2 linked regions of the Oreochromis niloticus genome follow. The protein of the gene in region 1 interacts with the protein of each later gene in a pairwise test. Links are inferred from orthologs where the notes say so. Each region holds a gene or a part of one and is shown on either strand. Other genes may lie near its edges.

Region 1 (7,058 bases):
GGGTATGAATAATTATGGGCTTAACTGTATGTCAGACGTACGAATTTCCCTTTGAGATCAATAAAGTTACTCTTGTTCTTGTAAGGGGTTGCCACAGCGGGTGATTTGGTAAATATGTTTACTGCGGGTGCCCTTCCTGCCACAAAGCTCCCAGAGAGCTGTGCCTCCCTCTGCTCTCATTCACCTAACACGCAAACGTTGGGTGAATGAGTTAACACAACAAACTTTGTGACAAATAAAGACCTAAACAGTTGTCAGGTGCCTCTCCTCGGAGTCTCTTTGCCCACAGTTCAACTTCACACTCTTTCCCAGCAGTGACAGAGTCCTGTTTCTGCTCTGCAGCCTCTCTGAGGTCACCAAACCAGTTCTCTGTCTGTCCTCCTGCTGTGACTTTGCACCACCAGAGTAATGATTTGATACTTTATCCCAAAACATGAAAAACAACTTGGCTCACTAAAGTAAAAACAATGGAGGAATCCAAACAAAGAACAGCAGCAATGACAAACACTGTGGGTGAGTAACATGTCCACAGTCCACAGTGAAATATTCAGGACACAGAAACATTATTTGAAAGCAACAGTTTGGAGTTTACATGTTTAAACTGTTTAGACCACAGCTCGTGATAGTTGGTCCACATTTCTCCTTACTGCTCATATTAACATCTGTGTCCTCCTGAACAGTGCTAAAGCCAGCTAAGATCACACTGTGGTCCTGGAAATGTGAAGCCTGGATTCTACTCGGCTGAGACAAAGACACTGACAGCCGGAGACGTCACAGCCAGGCTCCTGTTCCATTTCTTGAAAGTGCATCCCTTGGGGGACATGCATACTTGGTGCACTGTAATTTTCTGTGGATGAATCCACATGGTCACAAAAGACAGACAGGCGGACGAACAGCACAGACCTGTGTGATGATCCTTACGTCCCTCTGACCCGAGCACAGCAGGCTGAAGAACTGACGGCACAATTACCTTCATATAGACCGTCAACCAAACCATCATTTTCTGCAGTTATCTTAGTTTAGCTGCAACAACCATTCACAGTTTAGCTTCTTAACAAAAGGCCCGGATAGAAATCAAATATCTACAATTCACCAACTAAGCGAACGTTCATGTCACTGACCTGTGACGGGACGGCAGAGGAAACGCTCCCAATGAGAAGCTCCGACACAGAACATTCCTGTCAGTTAGGCCTGTACAACATTATAACACTGCTCATATTTTTCAAGAAGACGTGACCTGAGATTGCACTGATGAGTTATCAATACTTCTTTTTCCCTTCATTTTTATTTATCATACTATACTTCTGATTATTGTTACTTTATAACTCAGTGGCATAAAACAGACAGCTGAGTGATGGACAGAACTAAAAACAGGGACAGATTACAATCAGTATAACTACACAGTTATTAGAACAGCAAACATAAAGATTACAGATATAATGTAACTGGATGACAACTGTAAGCTGTCGACAAAGTAAATAAATACTTATAATATTTTCTAACTGTTTACCCAGTGAGCTGTGCTCATGTAAAACAGTGACAGAGGATGGAGGCGTCTTTTTCTTGTTGAACAAGTGATACAACAAAGAATCCTACTGTGTTTCAGCAACAAGGCAGCAAATAAAATTATAATATATAATAACATGTTATTGTTATTATTATTATTACTACTGCCACCATAGTAATTTGGCTTAAGCACAGCCTGTTACACACCAATTTGCATGTAAGATGAGTGAAGTGAAAGATAAGTGCCCCCCACCCCGCCCTTTCTCCTATAATTAAAAAAAGCAGCTTTAACTTTCAATTAATAACAAACACATGAGGAAAACCTGTATAGTATTCAGTTCGCAGCATACCCCTCTGCTGCTTCATAATGCACACAGGATTCAACACCATATACAACTATTGCAGAAAGCATTGTGTTAAAGTGACACCACTACAGGGTTACGTTACCTTGCAGAGGAGCTCGGTCATAATCAGATTAGGAAGTACCTTTTTAAAAAAAAAAAATTAATAGTATTTGATGATATGGGCTATTGGAATACTGTTTCAGCAATACTCGATAAGTAAAACTCACCAGTGCACAAAATCACTTTTTCACATATCAATAATAGCTCAGTTATAACCATTTCTTCTTATTATAAAGCCAACTTATGTTAGTGTTGTTTCATTTGATGGGCTGTTGCACTTTCGACTTGGAGCAAAACACAACTTAGCACTGTAACAACTCTGCCTGCCATACTGGGAATGACCGGTATTAAACACCTGTCTGTATCCTAATATTCAGTGGACTAATCAGAAAACTTCATTCTAAAGTAGGGACAGTGACAGGTTCGGAGCTGATGGATGTCTCCCAAAAGTCGGCAGCGAAAGGCTGACTCCCGGACGGAAGGAGCGATAGCCAGCGTGCTAAGGGGCTGATTACAAATCCACTTGGCTGATTGGCTAAGAGGCTAACAGCTATCTGGCCTGCCTACTGTCAGCTAACGATGTTGTTGCTCAGCTAACGTTAGCTAATCACGTTAACCTGAGCTAACAAAGAGTCCATATATCTTCAGCACAACTGACATGTACGGTGGTATTTGACGCATCTAGCTAGGACAAGTCCATGCCTCTTTAACGGTACCAGCACCGGGGCACAGAGGGGGCATGCGTGATAAGCACAGGGTATTGACAGTTTATTGTCCTCTGTGTGTGCGCGCGCGTGTGTGTGTATGTGTGTGCGTGTGTGTGGCATCAGAAAAAAATCCAACCTCAAAACACACACACGCGACCCAAGTAGCTACAGCAGACGAGACAATAGTTGATATGTAGAAGAAACAACAGTTGTCGGGCCGCGGAATAACATGTTATCAAGCTCACCTTCGAGTCGATTCTCGGGGGTTCATTTGTTGTCTTCTTTACTCTCCCTGGCAGCCATTACCGCCGCGCACGTTCTGCTCGCACAGTCAAACCAAGAAGGTTTTGTCAAACACTGGACGTGAGAGCGCGCAGCTGCTATGCAGCACAGCGCGTCAGTGGCGATAGAGGGACGACTTCCGGTCATACTCTTCAAAATAAAATTTCCATAGATACATTTTTATAACGGAGACTCAGTAACCAGGAGGTGGAGAAACGTTGACGGGCGGGGGTATATTTTTCTAAACGTGTTTTCATGAAAAAAAAATTCTAAAGTACATGCAGAGAAATGTACTTTGGCTCTTCATTAAGTCTTGTTGCATCAGAAAATTCAGCTTTGCTTTATATTCTAAGAGTTGTTTACTTGCTCTGTGTTTGGTTGACTTTTTTAGTCCTTTTTGTGGGGATTTTTTATTTGTTTGTTTTATTTTAAACTAAACTCTTATACTTTAACATCTGAAATGAAATCCTGACTCAAAGATGGCAAAAGGCACGGTGTATTTCAAAAAATGGCAAACTTCCTATTATAACTAGCACATTTGATTAGCGTTATTCAGTCAGTGAAATGAGAACACGTTCCTTCTAGCCTTCACACCAAATATCACTTAGTGAACCAAATGCCATGTGCACCTGCAGAAGAGGATTGGGAATTTTTTTACTCTGCAAAAAAAAGACCCCCACTTTTTTCTATTTCCAGTGGCACTAATCCTCTTCCGTACACACCTGTACATGTTTATGTAATCTAATGTAGAGGGCCTGCTATCCAAATATCACCTGTAGTTCTTTCTCAAATACAGACACTGATGCTTGGATGATAGACAAACCTATTTGTCTGATTTTAACACGTTTACAGAAAACACATGACCAAAATCCTAAAACTGAACAGATGAACAAACCTATACTAGCTGTCCAATAATTTTCAGTATTCTAGAGTGGACATTGTGCAATTGATATAATCGCTTCATGCGAAGAAAGAGCACCACAGGTGTGATTGCTTTGAGTTTGCTGATGCAGGGCGTTGCTGCAAATATAGAGGTCTCTCTGTAGATCTAAAGAAGGCATATAATAGGGTAACAGAGGCACTTTGGTACTGCAGGAGGAAGTCAGAAGTGCCAGAGAAGTATGTGAAGTGGTCCGTATGAGGACAGCAAGACAGTAGTAAGGTGTGCAGTGGGAGTGAGAGATGTGTTCAAGGTGAACATGAGATTACAAGGAATCAGCTTTGAGCCCGCTCTTGTTTGCAGTGGTGATGAGCAGGTTGACTGATGAGGTGGGGTAGGAATGGACTATGATGTTCACAGATGATACTGTGATCTGAGAGGAGCTGGAAGAGAACCTGGAGAGGTGGAGGTATGCTCTGGAGACAAGAATAATGAAAGTCAGTAGAAGCAAAATAAAATACATGTGAAGAAGAGGGGGACAGGTGTGCATGAGTGAGGCTTGGCCACCTATAACCCTGTCGCTGGTTCACCACTGTTCCTTACTTGGACCCCTTTGATAGATCCTGAACACTGCAGACTGACAACATCTCACAAGAGCTGCAGTTTTGGAGATGCTTTTGAAGTCGTGTAGCCAACACAATGTGGCCTGTCACAAGGATAGAGACACATAACCATTCATGTGCACATTTACATTTACAGTCAATTTAGATTCACTAATTTAGCTAACCCCATACATGTCTTTGGACTACGGTAGGAAGCCAGAGTATCCGTGGCGAACAATACAAAGTCCATACAAAAAGGCCCCAGTGTGGATCTGAAGCCAGTACTTTCTGAGAGGTGACAGTGGTAAACTCTGCACCACCATGCCCATGCTGCCCATAATAAATAATAAAAATGCAAAATAAATAAAAACTATAATGAATTAGACATAGACGGAGCAACTCTGGAGGCTCGCCAGGTAGCCAGCAACATAAGTGAAGGAACCCTGGAGGCCAGCACTAGAAGAGATGTGGCCCATCCAGAGGCTTGGCAGGAGATCTGAGGAGATGATTTACTGGAAGAGACCTGCATCGATGGAGGAAGCAACAGAGTCTGCCAGGAGACCAGACAAAACGCCAGCAGCAGTGGAGATGGAATGCATCAGGAAGCCTGGCTGGGGGCTGGTGGCTGAGGAGGAAACGGGACACCTCAGGGGGCTTGGGAGTTGCTTGGATGGCTGGGAGAAGTTGCTCTCAGAGGGTGTTTTAGTACCGTTCTTTATTTGTGGCTGTGTTCTTCATGGCAAAATTGTGAGTTAACTCGCTTGGATGGGAAGCAACCCCACACATGAATGGTACCAGGGTGTTTTACTGTTGGCATGATGCAGGACTGATGGTAGCACTCCACCTTTTCCTTCACTGTGCAATCATGTTTCTGGATGCCCCAAACAGAGAAAAGACCAGTCTGTCCTTGATGTTTTTGTGGCAACTTCTCTGCCCTGCTTGAAAAAAGACCATCCTCCAAAAGCCTTTGCTTCACTGTGCATGCAGATGTACTCACACCTGCCTGCTGCATTCCTGACCACGTTCTGCACTGGTGGTGCCCCGATCCTGAAGCTGAATTACCTTTAGCAGACAGTGCTTGCTGGACACTAAAGCCTTCTTCATAACAATTGAACTTCTACTAGCAGCAGTATCCTTTTATGCAAAGCAAGGATGACTGCTCATGTTTCCTTGCAGGTAACTAAGGACGGACGATGATTTCAAACACTGCCCTCCATTTAAAGCGTCCAGTCTGCTATTCTAAGGGCTTGATTACACTCCATTGTGGACACAAACACTGACAGCTGGAGACCCAACAGCCAAGCAGTCATTCATAGTAAGCTTTTTTGACTTCCACTTAAAGTCCGCCACCTGAGGAGCATGCCCAAATGGTCTCCACAGACAAACCAGTGCGGTCAGAAAAAACAGGCAGGCATGCAGACATCTGCAGGGACCCTCGCACTAATTGTCTGATGATTAAACTACTGGGATCGAGTGGACCCTGACCAATTCACAGAGGAAGAACATATAAACCCTGCTTAGCTCAGTCAGCATGACAGAGTGATTTCCAGCCATGTTCTTATCAACACTCACCTCTGTTAATGAGAGGATCACTAATGATGTCAGAGAGTCCATCGGTAGCAGTGGAAATGGGTTTTATAGGATTATGTTCATTTTTATGGCAAAGATGAAACACGTGGATGCATTTGATCAATCTTGATAATATTCTGGAGTACATGCAGATTGCCAGCAAACTTTGTGATAACCAATACTTGTGTTGTTCTCAAAACCTTTGACTATGATTGTACTATATTATCAAACACACCCTGAGTTTTAAGGTAGGTTTATTAGATTTAGTGCAGTTTCATATGTTAGTCTGTGTTAACCTGTTCAACAGCTACCTTTATATCAGCTGAAAATCCCATCTATGGTATTATTAAATTCCCCCACAAGAGGGCAGAATACTTTCAGCTTTGGCTTTTAGATGACACGGTCTCAGTCTGTTTAAGGATTTCTTTGATGGTCACATCTTATCTTGTTGTTCATGAAATCATTACAAATTAGTACTGTACCTTTGCTCCAAGGATTTCAAAGCACTGATGCCATTTATTCAAATATTTCTCTGTCATATGACTTTTTGAAACCATTAACAGATTTTTGATCAAGAAAGTATGAAAACTTCTTTCTGTTGATAAATAAACAGCATTTTTGCAGCTATAATTTCAGGTTTTTAATCTCAAAATGCTGATTTACTACGTCAAATTTCTCAAAACATAGCTCAGAACTGAGAAAATCACTTGGAATTTTGAGTCGTTATGTTGGAATAATAATTCTGGCTCATAAAGGACAAAAATGATTTTGTCAGTGGTGAAAACAAACTTCCATAACAAAGTGATCCAGCATAGGGAAATAAATAAATCCTGCACGATAGTACATCATACTGTACGTTATCCATATTCACAGTTACGTGTAATGAAAAAACACCAGTTTTAATATATTTTTCTCTCTTTTTTAATGTTCATTGTGGACTCAACGGTTCTGGTTCTGATCATTATTATTGTGTTATGTTTCATTCTTGTTAGGATTTTCTTGTTCTCAGAGTGTTCCCTCCCTGTTGCCATGTCTGTTGTCTTAGTGTTGAGCTTGTGTCTGTGCATACCTGTTGTATTTCCTGTTTTATTTTGATAGTCCCTGTCCT
Region 2 (7,723 bases), on another chromosome or scaffold:
GGTGCTTCAAAGGATAGTTGCAGATTTCTGTCAGAATCTGCAGATTATACAGTACAAATAAAATGTTCACGTTGTCTTCCCAACAGTTTCACTGACATCTACACTGGATGGCCAGGAAGCGTTCGCGATGTCTTCTCGGGCGCTTCTCCGGCGCTGATAATTGGCGTCTGTCTTGTGTCAGTGACGTAAAAGACGGATTTAATGCGACATGACCGTTCAAACAGCAGTCGCTTTCTAAAACATCGGATATGTATCGGATTCAGTACCACACACGAAAGTGACCTAGATCGGATTTGAAAATATCGGATTTGTGCCGTTCAAACTGTCATACCATGATCAGATATGGGTCACATAGGGTAAAAAAAAAATCGGATTTGATGCGCTTTCGCCTGCAGTGTGAATGTAGCCTAAGTGCCCACCCCGTTGTCTCGCTGCACGCCACTGAAATCCACCTCGTCTTCATCGCTGTCCTCTCGAGCATAGTAATGTCGCCTCCTGTTCTTCCTTTGGGCGCGGCTAGAAGACGTGGATGATCTTTCAGGAAAATCCTGTAGGATGAATCCATATTTAGAATTCATTTAATGCAACATTATTTTCACAAATTGTGCTGAAGATATAACTGCAGGAATGATGGGCCTAGAGATGTGGTGGGAATGGGGGGATAGAATCTATGTGTATGGATAAAATTAAAGTTATCAGTGAGTAACAAAGCTAACTAGGGGTTGTTACTGCTCTCATATAACTCTAGCCCTGCTGATAAGAGGTTGAAATGTCAGTTTGTTTAATGTTAACTGAGTGAGACCAGAAAAAGAGAAGGAAAAAAAACTGCAAATCATATTTATTTGAGAGAAAGAATCCAAACCTCAAGGCCTCAAGGCAAACTTAAAATGATACGTTAGGGACTCCTGGCAGAGTGAGGCTTTTGTGTAACAACTCGTGGTCTTCTACTCTGCACATTATTGCCCATGTTTTGTGTTTTATTAGCAGGAAGACCCTTTTGGTACATCCAATAATGCACCAATTACTGCTGAAATTTAAACCAATTTTAAGGTCCAAATGTATAACAAGTCTAACATATCTTCCAACTCCCATGTCTATTACAAAACACCCTAGAAGAGCAGCTTTAAATGAATAGATTAGAATAATAGATATGGATGCTGATTCTTCTAAACTGATCATCAGTCAGAAGTTTTCTTTACCAAAAAAACAAAAACCTGTTTCCCCCAGGAATTAAAACCAACGTGCCTCACCTGTACAGCATCCAAGTTTCCAAAGAACTGCTCCACAGGAAGGATCTGATTACTGTCATCATCTGGGAACATGATTTTGCCTGTTTCTTCATAATCCATATGCTCAGGCTCATATTTGTCCCAGATGCTATTCATTACGCAGCTGTCTGAATCCTGTCCCATCATCAGCGCGTTCTCTTTACCTTCCTGTCCTTCATGCTCTGGTGATGCTAAGCACCTCCTCCTGCCAGAAGACTGGTGGCATTCACAGCTGATGCAGGAGTCTCTCTCCAGAGGACCAGCTGCTTTAGTGTTCCCAACTGCTGAGCTGCTCTCAGACGACGAGTTCGCCTTTGGACTTTTCACACATCTCCTCCTTGCAGCAGATGTCTATGATACAAAAGTTAAGGAACAAAGTTAGGATGATGTTGGGGTAACCACAGCGGGACTCCACTGCAGTAATCACATCCTGTTAATTTGGAGCCACTCACAGCTGTCCGGTGTAGGGGTTACAGCTGTAGGGGTGTAGATAACTATACCAGATACACTCAGAAACAGCAGCTCATTTAACTCCTGCTTTTCTTTTCGACTCATCACACATCTGCAGCATTATGTACACAGACAAAACAAACCTTTCTGGTGTTTCTGGTCTCAGAGCTGCTCTTCCTCTTTCTTGGCTTCAAATTATCAACTTCACCAGGCATCTGCAAAGCATCATGATGTTTGTTTATATAGAGTACTTTATTAATGGAATGACATCGTGGGAAAAAAAAAACTATGGTTTTAGTCAGCTGAGAGGAAGCCGTCATAATGCCAGCGTTTGCTCCTGCTAAGCAGAAAATTAGCAAATGTTTTCACTCCACTCAGTAAAAGAAGCTAAATTTATCGGACAGCTCTTTAACGGGGGCAGTTTTAGGAGCATTTTCGCTTGTATGGAGATTTGTCATTTTCCAGTTCAAACACTGTCTTAACAAAAAAAATAAAAATAAAAATAGTGGACAACATCAATCGGATAAAGTTATAAAGCTGGCTCTGCAGCCCGCTGAGCTGCTTAAACCCCCCAACAGCGCCCCTCTATCCTCCGCCGGCTAAACTCCTGCTAATTTACTGGCAAATTAAAGTCGCGTTACTCGTCAACTATGACCCAGTTCTTCCAGTACAGTCAATACGCCTAATCCCTCCGGCATTGCTTTTTTACGTGTAGACGTGCCCGAGCTACGCCGAATGTGAGTCCATAAAAGGCAGCTGATAGTTGAACTGCTAAGACAACACCTGCTCAGCACAGCAGCTAGCTTTCGCCTACAAAAATCAAAGCAATATCGTCGGAAAATAACCCACCCCGGTCAAAAATGCCCCGGGTATCATAATTTGAAGCACGCGGCAGAACAATGACTCCAGCAGTCGGTATCGGTACAATAACACCAACACGGAGGTCACGACGAAGCTAAAGCGTCACTAAACACAACAAAAACGCCTAATTTCGACATCTCGGCAACAAGCTAATGCGGCCAGCTACGAGCTAACAGTAGGAGAGAAAAAAATAACTAATTCGACCTGCCTGCCGGTTTTCTCATTTATTTAAACACGTACTTACCTTATGTATCATTTGCCGGCGTGGATATTTAGGTTTTTCAGCACCTACGATATTGAAAGTTTCCACCACCTTGGGGTTTTCTGGCTTTCCAATCGGCTGGCTTCAACTAGCGACTAAACAACGGCGATAATTTTACGATGTGAGCGCTCCCCGCCGCCTCCCCGGTGTATTTCCTGCTGGTGAGGTTCACTCAGAGGTCTGCAGTTTCAATATCAGGACGTCCTCTGCGCCACACTGCACCGCCACCGACACCACCCTGTACTAAAGAGCATTAGTGAAAATGGAGAAAAAAAGAAATATATCTTAAAACACACGTGTTATTTTATATTTATATATATAATATTAGATTTCTATTATAAAAAATATAATTAAAAGTAGTTTAGTTCGAGGGGTTTGTAAATGCTTTTTACTAGATGTATTTTTGTATGTATCTGATTTTCTTTTAGGTTTTTTTCCCCACTATTTTAATATTTTATTTTTCCACAAACTTGGCCTTCTCCACTTTCACGCCATCTCAGTGCTTCTGCGGGAGTTGTTTCCACCCATCTTGTGACTTATGCTAATGAAAGGGGTTCTCGTGACACGCTGGTTCACAGTAAGCCCGTATTTCTCCGTGTTATTTTGTGAGACGGGACAATCATACGTCAAATGCCAGTTCACGCCATGTTTCAAAGTTTGGCTTTTGTTTAGCAGTGACGTATGAAGGAGGAGATTCCGGAAGTCGAATGCAGTTCCAATAAATGTCCACAAGATGGCGCAATAAGGTTTTTAAAGAAGCGTCTAATTCTTGTAATCAGCCAACAGGTCACACTGGCTTCGATTTTAACAGCTGTGTAATCATTTAGAACATACAGTTGACTTTGTCCGGTACCAAAACAGTAAGTAAACATAATTTAGAAATCATTTCATGTTCTAATTGTCATTCATCGCACAGTCCCTGTCAGGAGGCTATTGATTGCCTCCCACTCCTCCAGAGCAACCGACAACAACACGCGGCAACAGATGGTGGGGCCCCACGGATCTGAGCGTCACGGACTCAGTGTGGGATTTTTGTACGTTAGGAGACAGAAAACACCGAGACAGCTCGAGGAGTGCTGTAGTCCAGTATTTCTCACCTAGCACTGGAATTAAAATTAGACTGTCAAACTTCTTTAGAAAATCATCATCGCTGTTCCTTTATAAACGCTGTGGTGTTTGTTTTATTACTCACATGAAGATGGTTGTTAGTTTATTTATAGAATTATTTCTGAATCATTTCGTTGTATTTTAGTTCTGTTCTCTATCACTTCTAATCATGTAAATTAACGCGGATTAAAGGAGCTACTGATATTCAATATTAAGAATAAGATAATGATGTGGTGGCTAGTGGATCGGCAAAACCTGGTGAACACGTGTGTGTGTGTGTGTGTGTGTGTGTGTGTGTGTGTGTGTGTGTGTGTGTTAGACAGAGAGAGAGAGAGAGAGAGAGAGAGAGAGAGAGAAATGGGATACCTACAGGTCCCAGATCAGTTTAGTTTATTAAGGGGAGGAGATATTTGGGGGTGGGGTGAGATAGTGGTATCCTCCATCAGATCTCCAGATAGTCTGTGTGGAGGCAAAACCCTGAGAAGAAGCTCGGGGACGAACTACACAGCAAAGAGGGACGAATGTGTAACTTCACTCTGCGCTGTCATGGTCAAGACGTGGCCAAGGAGACACTTGACTGAGCGCTCTTACCCCGTGTCTTCGTGAGGTGGGACTGCAGTCTCCACTCAGGCGCACAGTTGTGAAACATTATGAAGGCATCTGAGGGTCCCAGCGTGTCACGGTGACAGCAATGGATCACTTTTTTCGGAGAAAGCGGATCCCCGCTTTTCTGAAACCCCTGTTGAGTCTGTCTCTGATCTTTGCGTCTTTTCTCATGATCCAAAAGCTGAAACTGTCGGAGAAAGACGCAGTGGGGGTTAAACATGTGAGGGATCCGGCCTGGTGCGGCTCGGAGTGTTTTTCATTCAAGAAGACAGCTATGACCAGTTCGGGGACCTCAGATTCTCCCGTGCCCGTCAAGGATTTGGAGACACAGCAGGTCCCGAACGTAACTCGGGCTTCTTGGGACGCACAGGTTCTGAACTGTAGCGCGGACGCATCGGTGAGGACCCAGGACTGGTTCCGGCGCTTGGACCAGAGATTTCACCAGTTTGTGCTTCACAGACACTGCAGGTATTTCCCCATGCTCATCAATCACCCGGAGAAGTGCGCCGATGGAAACGTTCATCTCCTCGTGGTGGTCAAGTCCGTTATTGAGCAGCACGACCGGAGGGAGGCCGTGCGTAAAACCTGGGGGAAGGAGCAAACCGTAAATGGGAAGAAAATTAAAACTTTGTTTTTACTCGGAAGCCCAAACACTGGCAAAGACGCCAAGAACCTACAGAAACTGATCGAGTATGAGGACCAAATCTTTGGGGACATCCTGCAGTGGGACTTCATGGACACCTTCTTCAACCTGACTCTGAAAGAGGTCAATTTTCTCAAGTGGTTCTACATCTACTGCCCCAACGTGCAGTTTATATTTAAGGGAGACGATGATGTGTTTGTGAACACGCACAACCTGCTGGAGCTCATCGACTTCAAAGTGGAGCAGCGCAAAGCGGCCCGCTTGTTTATGGGGGACACCATCTCCAAGGCGATCCCCATCCGAAACCGACAGAGCAAATATTACATCCCCAAGGAGCTGTACGACAAGCCGTATCCACCCTACGTGGGAGGTGGGGGGTTTCTGATGTCCGCCTATTTAGCCCGTAGGCTCTTCGTGACCTCGGAGGGCGTGGAGTTGTACCCCATTGATGATGTGTTTTTGGGGATGTGCCTGCAGAGGATCCACTTATCCCCAGAGATGCATCCGGGCTTCAGGACATTCGGCATCACCAGACGCAGGGCGAGCACAATGAACACAGAGCCCTGCTTTTATAAAAACCTAATCGTGGTCCACAAACTGAGCGCGCAGGAGCTGCTCAGGATGTGGAGCGTGGTGCACAGCCAAGACCTGATCTGCGCACAAAAAACTTCGATATGATTGACAGAAAGTACAAAGTAAATAAATTCACTAAATCTGAGCTCACGGGAAGTCTTCTTTGGACGATCATACTTGATGATCTTTACGCAATCTGCGGAGTCACGTTAATTTTTCCTTTACCGTTACGCACGGGTCTGACATGGAAGAGGAACTGAATTTAATATTGTGTGTCACATTAAAACGATTGATTTGTTTTCAGCTGACTCGGCACGTTGGCGCTCTCATCTCCACTTCTGTATGGGTTGATTTTCCGTTTTGTAAAAACCACTAGAGCACAGCTTTCGCATTGTGAAAGCACCCGTGTTTCTGTGCCATTCCAGACTGAACTGCCTTAATCTGAATTTAAAAATTAATTTAGAGACATAGATGTAAGAAACCCACGGGTGTTCGTGCAGGTGCGAAAAAGACTGACTTGTTACATCCAAGTGTTTCCCTTAAGCTTCCTTTTCCGACTTCAGGAATTCATTGCAACGTTCAAGTGCAACATGGGACTACATGATTTACAGCATAGAACACACAGCTGCATTCATATTTGAATGATTATTTTATTGAATAGAAATTGTAAATTGTAAAAATCAAATTCTGGGTATTTTAAAGATAATATATTGGTTTTGTTTTACCTTGTTTTGTAAGATTTACAAAGGCAGCCCTGAAACCAAAGAAACCACGTGTGTGTAACACTGTAAATTCATGTGTGTTAGTGTCAATAAAACCAGAGCTCTCTTGTAAACACTGAATAATGTTGCAAAACTTGATTGATATGTGTTTTATATTGCTCAACAATAATCCTGGAAGTTGGACACCGCCCATTTTTTTAATACACAGAGGGCTCTTAAAGAGAGCCGTGTATTACATGTAACTTTTATGGTGAAACACTGATTGGGAATTTTGATTACATGGAAGCACATGTGCAATGGTCCCTGAATAATGCTTTATTTAACAAATACATCTGCAGAAAAAAGAAGCCAAAATGCTGTTGACTACAAACGCATGAACACAACTTTTACATCTACTTTTGCGGCAGCTCTCAGTACAGAAGCAGACTAAAGCAAGTAGTTTCCCCACTAATAAAACATACGCTCACATTAATGTTATTACCGTTTCCAGATACATCACAATCACTTTGTCGTCATCATAACACTGTGCAGCACAACATGAGCACAACATAAGAGATAATTATAAACCAGGCTAAATGTTATATGTAGTATTTAACATTTCAGCTTGTGATTCTATCAGTTTGAAGCCAGTGATGTGATTCTGAACACTGGAGGGAAAAAATGTGGTGTACATACAGTATGTAGCATATTCATGTCCACTGCTTTCCTCATTCTAGCAGTGCTGTTTCATTCAGAGACCTACTTTGTCTCATTTTACTTCTACTTCATACTATCAGTAGGCATTGTGGAGGGAAGTAAGTCACTGTAGTGTGCTAGAAATTCAGCAGTAAAACATCATCCTTTGGCAAAAGTGCTATTTCTATATAGAATATGTATAAAAGGAAAGCAAATATGTAAACAGTTGGCTAACTGTGGAGTCGACAGCAAAGCTTCCCTCAAAGCAAAGAACATCTTCTGCTTGTAACTAAACTGTGACCTCGTTCCTCCTCCTGTTACTGGGTGTGCAAGAAGGTATGAGTCATCGTCTTCTGAAGGGATGCAGCAACTAGATAAATTTTTACTGAAACTGCAACGGTTACCCATAGAAGTTTCTCAACCCATTCATTGGGTATAGGCCGATTCAACACAAGAAACGGTTGATTTTAGTTGTGATGTGGAGCATAAATTTGCCAATCCTTACAGTGTGTAGAAGCTGGGTGGAGTTCCATGGGACAGCTAGTTATCTGCAGTG

What was found.
Region 2: the proteins of pdik1l (region 1) and lg20h1orf174 interact in binary tests that used the Homo sapiens proteins (3 or more experiments, as listed by UniProt). The two-hybrid records come from large-scale screens. The link is inferred for Oreochromis niloticus from reciprocal best matches to the Homo sapiens genes PDIK1L and C1orf174.

What each region holds. Positions count from the first base shown.
Region 1 is NC_031985.2:38,672,905-38,679,962, forward strand, and holds the start of pdik1l (serine/threonine-protein kinase pdik1l), read right to left. Parts: upstream 3,032-7,058; 5' UTR 2,863-3,031; intron 1-2,862.
Region 2 is NC_031984.2:26,355,516-26,363,238, reverse strand, and holds lg20h1orf174 (UPF0688 protein C1orf174 homolog), read right to left. Parts: upstream 3,065-7,723; 5' UTR 2,836-3,064; coding exon 2,824-2,835; intron 1,934-2,823; coding exon 1,862-1,933; intron 1,620-1,861; coding exon 1,251-1,619; intron 549-1,250; coding exon 408-548; 3' UTR 284-407; downstream 1-283. Other genes in the region: b3gnt7l (UDP-GlcNAc:betaGal beta-1,3-N-acetylglucosaminyltransferase 7, like), read left to right, coding at 4,640-5,875.